3 linked regions of the Diceros bicornis minor genome follow. The protein of the gene in region 1 binds, or shares a complex with, the protein of each later gene. Links are inferred from orthologs where the notes say so. Each region holds a gene or a part of one and is shown in the gene's direction. Other genes may lie near its edges.

Region 1 (3,749 bases):
TGAAGATGTTAGAACCGAAGGGCACTTTATCAAGATTTGGTCCAACAGCCTAAAATTTCAAAACAGAAAACAGGACAAAGTGATTCACTGATATTAAGGAATACAAAAGAAAGTAGAGGCCTGGAAGATAAGAGAAGGTTTAAAAAATCAACAACAATCAGCCCTGGATTTAGAAGTTATGAAAGTTTGGGGAAAAAAAAAAAATATATTTTAAGGGAAGTGTTGTATCAGTTATTAAAAGTGGTCCAAAATTTCAATCAGACACTAAAGCAATCCTTTGGAGAAAAAAAATTTGGAAATATCTGTATTACACATTTGAGTGATCCAATTACACTTTAAAACATTTTCTCTGGAATGCCACAGGAAGATGCTAAAGATGTCACTTTGATGATTTAGCTTTGCTATATAAATTTAATAAATTAGGTATATATACTGTGGAAATGTGTTTCTTGAATAGATACCACGATATGTTCAAGTATTTTAACATCTACTTCTGAATTGTAAGGAGATGAACCGTCAAAGGTATAGCCAACATCCCTGAGTTGGAGTACCTTTATAAATAAGCCAGTTTAGAATGGAAGTGCTTCCCTAAGTCTTGTGGTCTCCGTGTCATTTTGTAGAGTTACAGATTTGCTTTGTTTTTTCTTTTTAAGATGTATAAATCATTCTACTTATTTTTTGTCAATGTTTTTGTGGGTAAAAAAGTTGTGTTCATTTGTCCCGCTTATCACAACACGGTGAACAGAAGTTGTCTGGCGATCTCCTGCGATGCATCTAAAACAAAAAAGGCAAAGCCAGCGTGGACAGGGTGTGGGAGACAGAAAATTCAAGGATGATGATGTGATCTCTGTGCTCCCGCAAAAGACCCTACTTAGTAGCTTTAGGAGAGCGGTTCCCAAATTTCTGTCCCCCGACTGTTGCGTCAAGACATTTGTTAAAAATATCAATTCCTGGACCCTGCTGTAGACTTATTGAATCAGAATCCCCTGAGATGTAATCTGCAAATCCGCACTTTTTAAACAAGCGCCGGAGGCCGCGGGGAAGCACAACACAATTTCACAAGCCGCTCGTCTCCACTGGACTCACACCGCCCCTCGTGTCCAGCCTCTCCCAGGCCCCGCCCCCTCCCGCCTCCCGCCTCCCGCCTCTCCCGCCTCCCGCCTCTCCCGCCTCCCGCCTCTCCCGCCTCCCGCCTCTCCCGCCCGCCTCTCCCAGGCCCCGCCCTCAGCTCCTGCCGTCTCGCGAGGTCTCGAGGGACTCTTCCCGTAATGCCCCGCGCCCGGCTGCCGCGGTTGCTTGGCAACGTCTGGTCCCCCTGGTGCTGGCTGCTCCGGGTTCGGCCAGGGGATGGGGCCGCGGGATCTCCCGCCGCTGTTGCTCGTGCTCCTGGACTGCTGGGCCTCTGGGAGCGCCCAGGCCGGGGCCACCTCCGCGGTGACGACGGAGGGCCTCAACTCTACGGAGGCAGCCCTGATGACTCTCCGACCTGCCTTGTCGCCTAGGCCTCCCGAGACCCCCAGGGCCCCTCGGCCCTCCTCTGGCCCCAGGCCCACCCCGGTTACGGACGGTGGGTACCAAGTGCCAACTCCTGGGGATCCACAGTAATCTAACCTGGAGGGAGGGTAGCCCGAGTGAGGATGTAATAATGATAGTTAACGTTTATTGAACACTTACTGTGTGCAGGCATTGCTAAGTGTTTCATAGGCATTCATTCTCTCAACAACCCTGCGAGGTAGATATTATTATCCCTGGCATACAGATGAGAAAACTGAGGCTCAGAGAGTGTAAGTGGGACAATATCAGATCTTTGAAAGTACTTGCAATGGTCCTGGACAACGTTAATGCTAAAAGTAATAATGAATGAATCCTTGCAGATTTGCAGCAGAAGACAAAATCGAAAGTTTCTAGACAGTTGTGGAAATGAAATGCATAGGATGCATCAGACTTTTCACTTACCAAAAAAAGAGATGCCAGAAGTCTAGCTTACAAAATGTGACTGGGTCAAGGCCCTTGCCTATTGACTTGAATTATGAAAACTCAGGATTCCTCCTGTGTTGAGTTGGAAGGGGAAGCTGTAGGGTAAGGGGTTATGCCCACTTCTTAGGATTCATCTTTAGGGATAATTAACATATTTCTCGGAAGGTGATCTAATCCTGGAGTTACACATTTAGTGAATATTTTATAATCTGATTTGAGATTGATGACTTCAGGAGATGTCTGTCTGTGACCCTGAGATTGAGTGCAAAATTTTGTGAATATGCATTTTTCTGGGGTGAGCGTTCATAGCAATCAGCAGTTTCTCAAAAGGATTTGTGATCTTAAAAATTCTAAGTCCACTGACTGTAACCTCAATAGGTATGCAGTATTTTTTATCCCTTCTTATGAGAAAAAGATCTTTTCTTTTTTTTAAAGATTCTATTTATTTATTTTCCCCCCAAAGCCCCAGTAGATAGTTGTATGTCACAGCTGCACATCCTTCTAGTTGCTGTATGTGGAACACGGCCTCAGCATGGCCGGAGAAGTGGTGCGTCGGTGCGCACCCGGGATCCGAACCCGAGCCCCCAGCAGCGGAGCGTGTGCACTTAACCGCTAAGCCACGGGGCCGGCACTCTTTTCTTAAATTGAGTATGGCTCAATATTAGTAAATAGAAAAGTCATCATTGGCTGACGTCCTGAGCTGTAGGACTTAACTTCAGTTACGGAACCATTATTTCTCCAGAGGGCCTCCTTTATAAATTATGAGTAGTCTGTAAGAAAAAGTACAGAGAAATATATTTTCTGTTTCAATATATGTAAACAAAACTCTGTTTTGTATTTAAACTGTTCATTTGATGAATTAGTAGGGAAGTTAAATCAATGATAAATTGGGACGGAATACGGCAGTGTAGTCAAGGCCCAAAATTCTCTAAGGTTTTTGGACTGTGTTGTCTTTTATCCATGTCAGTATTCATCTGTTAATCCACTTTCTCCCCAGAATGAAGCTATTCTTGAATCATCATTATTAGGGCATGTGTTCAGCGCTTTTTTTCCAGTATAGGGGATGAATTTTCACTTCATCTTTTTAAAGGAGCCCTCCTTAGACCTGTGAAAGTAATGATAATAAACGACAGCTGGCATTTATTAACTGCTTACTGTGTAGCAGGCACTGTGCTAAGCATTTCATCTGTGATGTATCTCATTTAATTCTCATAACAATCCTATGATGTGGGCTATCCCCATTTTTCAGGCAGGTGAATTACCTGCCTGATTTTAGCTCACACTCCTGGTACGTGTTGGAGCAGGAGGCTGGCTCTGCGTGGAGAACTGGACAGCCCTTTGTAGAATGGGTTACAGATGGAAGAGAAGAGTGATAACTTTCGTCTTGCATCAGCTCTGTTTCTGAGTGCCCTGCTCTGTGAGCCGGGCGTGCGGACATTGAAAGGTGTGGCAAAGCAGCTGAGTGCTACTTAGACCCTGCAAGTGCCCAACAGATACTTGTTGGCTGATTAAGTGCACTCGTATCCTGGATAGAGACCTTTTTTTCCCCTAAGTGGAGTTATTAAACACTATTGCTTTGTCCTTAGTAGTCTTATAGCTACCTACAAGGGTTTTAAGTTTGGAAAACAAATCAAGATTATAATTTTAAATGCATAAGACAGGGAGCCCGAACACTCTCTTTATTTTTTACTTTAGTGTGCGTTATTTTACTAAGCACATAGAGGAGTCCTTGGCTAGAGAGAAGCACGTAAACTTTTGTGTCTCAGACTAAC
Region 2 (3,749 bases), on another chromosome or scaffold:
CAGTTGAAAATGTCATTTAGATTTCAAGTCTATAGCTTAAGTTACCTAGCGGCGTATCATACTCCAGAATGAGAGCAGTGGGATAAGCAAAACTTGCACAAATAAGAGCTGTAAACACCTGAGAAGGCGCTTTCATAGAAGAGCACCCTCGGTAACCAAGCAAGTGACAGCTGCAGGACTGGTGGGTACTGAAGCCCCTTCTCTCTCCACCCCCAGCAGTGGCCCCGACAAGTTCTAACCTCTCCTCTCTAGAGCCTTCACTCTAGACACACAGCTCCTCAACCTTCAAGTCCTTCCACCCGCGACGGTGATGGCGCTACAGGCAAGGCGGGCGGGGTCGGAGGATGCACTGCCCTCCTCTCAATTCCTCACTCGCCCCCAAACTATGATCTCGGCCGCGCGGCCCCCACTCCACTGTACACAGACAGGTTCTGATACCAAAGAGGGGTAAAACTTTTCTGTCTTCTTACAGAGGACACCCCCCGGGGCGTCGCTTGCAAAGGCCTAAGCAGAAGGCGGGGTCTTCCCACCTCTCCATTCTCGGGCCAGGCCCTTCCGCCCCGATGGCGGGAGCGTCTCCAAATCAGGACCGCTCCCCTCAACTCCTCCCCCGCCGCTGACCGACAGCTCGACCTCACCTGGGAGCGGCTCCACGAGAGGACGGCTCAGGGAAACCTCAAGAAGAGCGGTCCAGAGAACGACGCCACCGCAGGCACACTCATGGTCTACCTCGTTCACAGCAGACGCGCCTCAGCCACCGCGCCTCCGCCACCGCGCCTCCCGCCGCCGGCTGGTTCCCCCGCCGCCCCGGTACGGTCGCAGCCTCTCGCATTGCACGCCGGGAACGGCCTACCTCCACTTCTCATTGACTTCAGTTCCCAGGATGCACAAGCCTCCAAGCAGAACTGCACTCTGGGATTTGGAGTCCTCATCCCCAAGACTTCTCCTTGTCCTTTTCACAGAGTCCGGGAAACCCGCTGGGGAATCTAAACGTAAAGCATCACCCATAGTCGTGAAATGTAGGCTCCCTGGCATCCGGGGCCTTGTTCCAGCCTTGGCTGGGTGGGGAATGGTGTCGCCTAGCAGCCGCCGCCGCTATTCCTCGCTCAGGACCAGTTGGCGGGAGCCAGTGTCCGGTTGGCACTGCGCTGGGGAGCGGTCAGGCGTGGCGGCGGGGCCGTGCTTGGTGGGTGCGGTAGATGAAGGGCCGCCTCTGGTTGCCAGGTTTGGCTTAGGTGCCTGGATCCTAGTGAGCATGAGCAGCGGCTGTCTTCTTACGCGGGTTCTTTAAGCTTCAGGGCCCATCTGCAGCAAAGCCCCGCTTCCCCGCCTCTTAGCCTTTTTGGTCAGCAATCCATCTGCCTTCTCCTCGCTTCAGCCCTGGTTTCCCCGGCCCAATTGCACTCATTTCAATCGTTTATTTCCTCACTTTTTTACGCCCAGTTCCTGCTTCTCCGAATCAGGGGTCGGTTTCAGCCTGCCGAGCACCTCCGCGGTTGGCACCATTAGATGTTCGCGTGCCTTGGTGGTAAGGGGGCATGAAGGAGGGGACTCAGAATCTTAGTTCTGACCAAGATTAGTTTTAACAAAGAAGCCGTCGTAGTTTGTTTAGCCGATACAATATCTGATGGTTTGTGCCAACTGCTATACTTGTGATCAAGGTTATTTTACCCGCTTATCTGTTATACAATTAAGGAGGCATAGCTCTTTGCTGACACCATAGAGAGTTAGAACAATGTAATGTGTAAAAACTGTAAATTGCTGTGAAAACATTAATGCTGTTTACCTTGAAAATGCTAATACCCACCTACCTTGTTACCGCAGGTAAAGCACAGTGAAAGAATTCAAGATGCCACCTAATATAAACTGGAAAGAAATAATAAAAGTTGATCCAGATGACCTGCCTCGTCAAGAAGAATTGGCAGATAATTTATTGATTTCCTTATCCAAGGTGCTTAATTGATAAATAATATGTAAATATATACATACAACTATGATTCATCCAAGTTGTCCCTTTAATCACTGAGTGGTACAATTGGAAGAGTTCTTATATTTTGCTTAAGTGTTATAAATATATAATAGTTGTTTTTCTGTTTACTTAGGTGGAAGTAAATGAGCTAAAAAAAGAAAGTCAAGAAAATGTGATACACCTTTTCAGAATTACTCAGTCACTAATGAAGGTTTGTATGCAGTAGGTTTTAATAACAGCTTTGACTATTAGAGAAGGTTTAAGAATCTGTTACTTACTTAAGTAACTTAAGTAAGTTAATTTCTATAAAAGTACTTTGTAATATCTAAATCACCACTAAAAAATGAGGTATTTTCAAATGTGGATTGAGAATTTTAGTGTGCAAAACATGGCTAGTTTCTGCTCTAAAGTTCCTAAAAGAATATGTGAGGGAAACAGATGGATATGTTTAAAAATAACATAGGGAGGTCCTATGTTAATTAAGTTAACATAATCCTGAGGTAGAAGTGAAAAATGCAGACGATTATTATAGGGATTTATTAGGAGGGGAAGAGATTTAGATGTGAGAAGACCTCATGAAGGTTAAAGACTGATGAGTAGTTTTAGGTAAGTGGAAAGCAGTGGTAAAATATTAAGGAGATTCTAGAGCTGGAGGTTACCATAAATAAAAACTGGAAATAGAAAATGTGTATTCTTTCCATTTGAGGAGACAAGTGCAGACACTTTGTGGCAGGCTGTAGAGGAAACAAATGTTGCCTCTACGGAGGCTGTCAAAGGCCTTGCAGGTGTATTTTACGCTGTCAGCAATGAGGAGCCATTACAAGTTTTTGAGCCACGCTTGATAGGTACAAAAATATGCCTTGGGAAGGCTAAACTAGGTATGGTAAACTAAACTATGGAGGGTAAACTAGGCTAAATAGGACAAATTGAAGGAAATTAAAGCTGTTTAGCCATAATGTTATAAAGGAGGTTAGACAAAAAATTATGGACTAGAAGAATCACAAGTAGAATAGAAAAAAAGGGATAGTGGAAAACATTACAAAGAGCAAAGTGGCAATACTGGATATAAGACTTGAGGGAAAAAGAAGAATCAAAGATGTTTCAAACTGTTAGGAATCTAAAAATTATAGCCTTAAGTAAGAAAATCATCTATTCATTCAACAGCTATTTACTGAATGTCTGTGTATGCCCGGCATTCTGAGCGCTAAGTTTTGGGATAGCAAATAAAATCCTGTTTTGGGTGCTTACATTCTAGTGTAAAGGCGTATTGAAATAAATTTTGTGTTTTTAATGTTTAGATGAAAGCTCAAGAAGTAGAGCTGGCTTTGGAAGAGGTTGAAAAAGCTGGAGAAGAGCAAGCAAAATTTGGTAAGTGCTATGGAAAGTTAATTATGATGCTAAATAGTGGATTCCATTTGTTCTCTAAGCAACAGAGAATTAGCTTTAATACATTCTATAAAATGTGTAGACTCAATTTATTTTGAAAGATATTCTAGAACTCCTATTCCATAGATCAGGTATAAGATAGTTATTTTCTCTTCTATTACCTTATTATTACAATCATGATGGAATCTTTAAAAAGAATTTATTTTATTATTTTATTGAAATTTATTTAGAAGTTTGTCTTGAGATAAATTGACCAATTGAAACATTTGTCTTTTTTTAATAGAAAATCAATTAAAAACTAAAGTAATGAAACTGGAAAATGAACTAGAGGTATGTCCTTTTGTATTCCCTAGGGTGTAGTTGTTCATTTTATTATTTTGAATTATTATTTTCA
Region 3 (3,749 bases), on another chromosome or scaffold:
GCAGCGGAGTGCGTGCACTTAACCGCTACGCCACAGGGCCAGCCCCTGGGAACCTTTTTCTTAATCACTAATATCACCCAGTGGGGAAGAAACCAATTGAAGAAAAAATATTTAAGAAGGAGCATTGACAGGCCTTGATGACTTGTCGCATGTGGGAAGTGATGGAGTCTAGGAGGACACCCAGGCACAACTTCCATATTCCTTTGACACTGGGAGACGTGTATCCAAGAGAGGCAGGATAGCAGAAAGGTTGAGAACACAAGGTTTAAAGCAAGGTTTAAAGAGTCAGACAGAACTGTGATCGATTTGGCTAAGACAAAAGATTTTGCCTCAATTTCTTCATCTTAAATAAAGCCAATAATGTTACCTACCCTGCAAGGATTAAAGGAGACCATGCATGCAAAACGATCAGTTTACAGGGGCTGTCGCAGAGAAAGCACTCAATAAATGGTAGCTTTCAAATATATCTATTAGTGAAATATTATCCTATTAAATTATTTATATAAATATTATACTATTGAAATGTTGCCCCCTCCCTATAACTTTGAGCTGGTGACTCGAACTTTTGTGGTCCCGTTTTGCTAAAAAGTAGGAGAAAAAGTTCCCTTTGGACTCCTGGTCTGGGCTGGAGGAGTAACTAAGGGTCAACTGCACTTAGGGGGCGGGAAAGGCCCTGCTCAGGAAATCAGAACGTATCAGGGCCGCTGACAGTCTCCTTGCGCCCATTACATGGATGAGATAATGGAGACACAAAGGCGTGCAAGGCCACAAGATAAGACACTGGCAGAGTCTAGTCTTCAAGAACCGGATTTTCTGCAGAAAAAGGGGCCGCAGTTCCTCATTTCTCATACCCCTGCCCCCACACCCGCCTCCTTGCTCAGAGCCAGCAGTAACTGAACTGGGCAGTATTTCTGAGAAGGAAGTTGGATTTATCAGTCCTTGAGGAGCCTGGGGGAACTCTAAAAAAGGAAGGAAACCCCCCTCCCCAACTTCTCGAGTCTCTCTGAAAGAGGAAGGATCTTTTTTCCAGTTATGAGGCAGGGGGATGCACACAATGACCTGAGAAAGAGTCCCTCTTGTTCCTGGCTCAAGTCTCTGATTTGTGGTCCGGTTGGGAGAGAGTTTAGGGGAGCATAGGGCATCGACGTCTTCGCTTATTTTGTAAAGAGGGTTACTGGAAGAAACAGTTGGCGCTCAAACTTCCTCAGCCACACTCAAGATGGCAGCTGCCCGGCCACGCCCCAAAAGGCGGAACCGTGGGTCGTGGCTGGAGAGACACTTTTCCCAAAATGGAGACAGCGGGGGAGAGAAAACGTCCATCATAGCTTAGCCCCACCCTCGAGGACGGCTAGGGCCAATTAGCGACGCGCAGGGCGGGTGCAAGGCCAGGGGAAGAGGCTGCTGTTGCCCCAGCAACAAGCAGGGAGCCCGGAGGCGGGCGCGGCTCGGAGGGATCTCACTGCTTCAGATCTCTCACTGCTGGGAAAGTCCTGGGAGAGGGGCGAACCAGGCCTGGGAATTCAGCGCCCGCGGAGAGAGGGACAGGTCAGGCCCATGAACTCCAAGCCCCACTGCCGCTTTCGCCCCTCCTAACCGTTAAGCGCTCTGAGGTAGGAATAACGCATGCGCGGGCTTAGAGGCGGGGCTAAGGCGGCCATGCACTTAAGACGCATGCGCCTCATGGAGCTTGGGCGATCTGACGCGAGGGGGCGGGGCTTCTGTGCTTGTGGGCGGAGCCGTAGGCCCCTGGGGCGGGGCTTTCCGTCGTAATGAGCAAGAGGAAAAGGTTATTTTAAGGCAGGCAAAGTTAGACGCCAGCTTCTCAGCCCAGCTCCCCATATTTATCCGGGGCTCTCCTAGCGAGGCAGTTAGGATCATGGTTAAGACTGCTGCCTCAGTGGTTTGACGAAACTAGCTTGGAATCCTAGTACAGCCCCTTACTCCGTGGGGCTCAGTTTTCCCATCTGTCAGGTGGACATAATAATACCCGTATCTCAGAGGGCTGTGATTATATCTTTCCCCTCTCAGGGCCATGGCTGAGGTGCACGTGATCGGGCAGATCTTGGGTGCCACAGGTTTCTCGGAAAGTAGCCTCTTCTGCAAGTGGGGCGTCCACACAGGTATTCCGGGCCTGGTTCATTTCCCCACCAAGAGCCCCCTAGCCTAGATGCTCCACCCTCCTTCCTTGATGCCCTGACCATTCCCTGCTCTGCATCTTCCATTGGCTCTCAGGACTCCTAGCCTGACCACACTGTCCACGTGATTCTCAGGCTCCCTTCTTATTCCTTCCTATCCCATCTCTGGGGGCTCTGACTCCCACTCTCTGAACACACAGCCCCTAAAGATGGGGACTACAGGCTAGACCCCCCCACACACACACTTCCAATGCTCAAAACAGTAGACAGCCCTAACCCCACTGTTTGGACTTTGCTCCCTGTCTTAGGGGTGCCTTGGGTCCCTCTGGCATCTTAATTCTTTGCTTAACAGCCTCTACTTTATTGAGTTCTTACTGTAAAATGGAAGTTTTCATCCCAGATTTACACAGGAGAGGCCACCCTCCTGTATTCATAATTCTCTGTGGGAATGTAGGAACCCCATTCTGGCTGTCATACAAGTCCATCCACACAGCCCCTGGAGGGACCTCAGAGGCTCCAATTTTCATGCCTCCCCATCAAAGGCAGTATAGCATGGTGGTGCAGCATAATGGTTAGGGCCATAGGCTGCCAGATCTGGGCTCAAATACGAACCTATTCATTGGGGGACTTTGGACTTGACTGCCCTGAGCCTTCCCTTCCTTGTCTGATAATGAAGCTAACAGCAGCTAAGAGGCAGCAGAGTGTTGAGGTTAAGAGCACAGACTGCCTGGGTTCAAAACCAGCTGTGGCTTATTAATTATGTGACCTTGGGCATTGTCTTTGCCTCAATTTCCCTGTCTGTACTATAGGAATAATCACAATACTTACCTCATGGGGTTGTTGTGAGGACTAAGTGGACATCACCAGCACTTAGAAGAGGGCCTGGCTTAGTAAGTGCTCAGTGAGTGTCTGGCTCCTGTAACAATTGGGTGGGACTTATTTTTAAAGCCCAGGTATGCTGCTTGGCACAGGAACATGCCCGTGCTACGAGTGTGGCTATTGCCATTATCATGTCTTCAGGCCCCGGGTCCTTGGTGATTTCACTGGTGGGTAGGGTGCTGGTTGAGATTGCCTGGGAATTTGGGGTCCTCCAGCTGAGCCCAGTCAGACTTGGGTTCCAGTCCAGCTGTCCCGTCTTGGAGCCCCCGTTTCCTCTTCTGTAAAGTGGGAACGTTTGTCCTTCATAGGGATGTTGGGAAGTCTCGCATGTGAAGAACTAGACTCAGGGCCTGGCACTTTCCTTGCATGGCCCAGAAGGGAGCAGTAACTAACGTGATTTTTATTATTTCAGGGGGCTCTTGCGAGGTAGTTAATCTAGCAGAGAGCTCAGGGGCAGTCGGATAAAGGGATTGAACTCTGCAGTCAGACAGAGCTCAGTTTGAATCCAGCTCCACTGTGGGACCTAGGTGTGTGGTCCTGCTGTATCCCCAACGTGGAGAACAGTGCTTGGCACACAGTAGGTGTTCAATGAATGTTCATGGAATGAATGGCCAAGTGACTTTCCTTCTTAGAGTCGGTTTCTTTACCTGTAAAATGAGGATTGGATTAGCACCTGCCTCCTAGGATCACTTATTTGTCCAACAAACATTTGTTGAGCACCTTCTGTATACCAAG

What was found.
Region 2: TCTN1 (region 1) and CEP290 share a complex: the UniProt entries of both Homo sapiens proteins name them as parts of the tectonic-like complex. The link is inferred for Diceros bicornis minor from reciprocal best matches to the Homo sapiens genes TCTN1 and CEP290.
Region 3: TCTN1 (region 1) and B9D2 share a complex: the UniProt entries of both Homo sapiens proteins name them as parts of the tectonic-like complex. The link is inferred for Diceros bicornis minor from reciprocal best matches to the Homo sapiens genes TCTN1 and B9D2.

What each region holds. Positions count from the first base shown.
Region 1 is NC_080774.1:9,094,889-9,098,637, forward strand, and holds the start of TCTN1 (tectonic-1), read left to right. Parts: upstream 1-1,314; 5' UTR 1,315-1,347; coding exon 1,348-1,567; intron 1,568-3,749. UniProt on the Homo sapiens protein: Component of the tectonic-like complex, a complex localized at the transition zone of primary cilia and acting as a barrier that prevents diffusion of transmembrane proteins between the cilia and plasma membranes.
Region 2 is NC_080764.1:33,002,070-33,005,818, forward strand, and holds the start of CEP290 (centrosomal protein of 290 kDa), read left to right. Parts: upstream 1-1,054; 5' UTR 1,055-1,528; intron 1,529-1,824; 5' UTR 1,825-1,849; coding exon 1,850-1,951; intron 1,952-2,102; coding exon 2,103-2,180; intron 2,181-3,267; coding exon 3,268-3,337; intron 3,338-3,638; coding exon 3,639-3,685; intron 3,686-3,749. UniProt on the Homo sapiens protein: Involved in early and late steps in cilia formation. Its association with CCP110 is required for inhibition of primary cilia formation by CCP110.
Region 3 is NC_080773.1:15,359,414-15,363,162, reverse strand, and holds the start of B9D2 (B9 domain-containing protein 2), read left to right. Parts: upstream 1-1,407; 5' UTR 1,408-1,545; exon of another isoform or gene 1,546-1,610; intron 1,611-2,028; 5' UTR 2,029-2,032; coding exon 2,033-2,120; intron 2,121-3,749. UniProt on the Homo sapiens protein: Component of the tectonic-like complex, a complex localized at the transition zone of primary cilia and acting as a barrier that prevents diffusion of transmembrane proteins between the cilia and plasma membranes.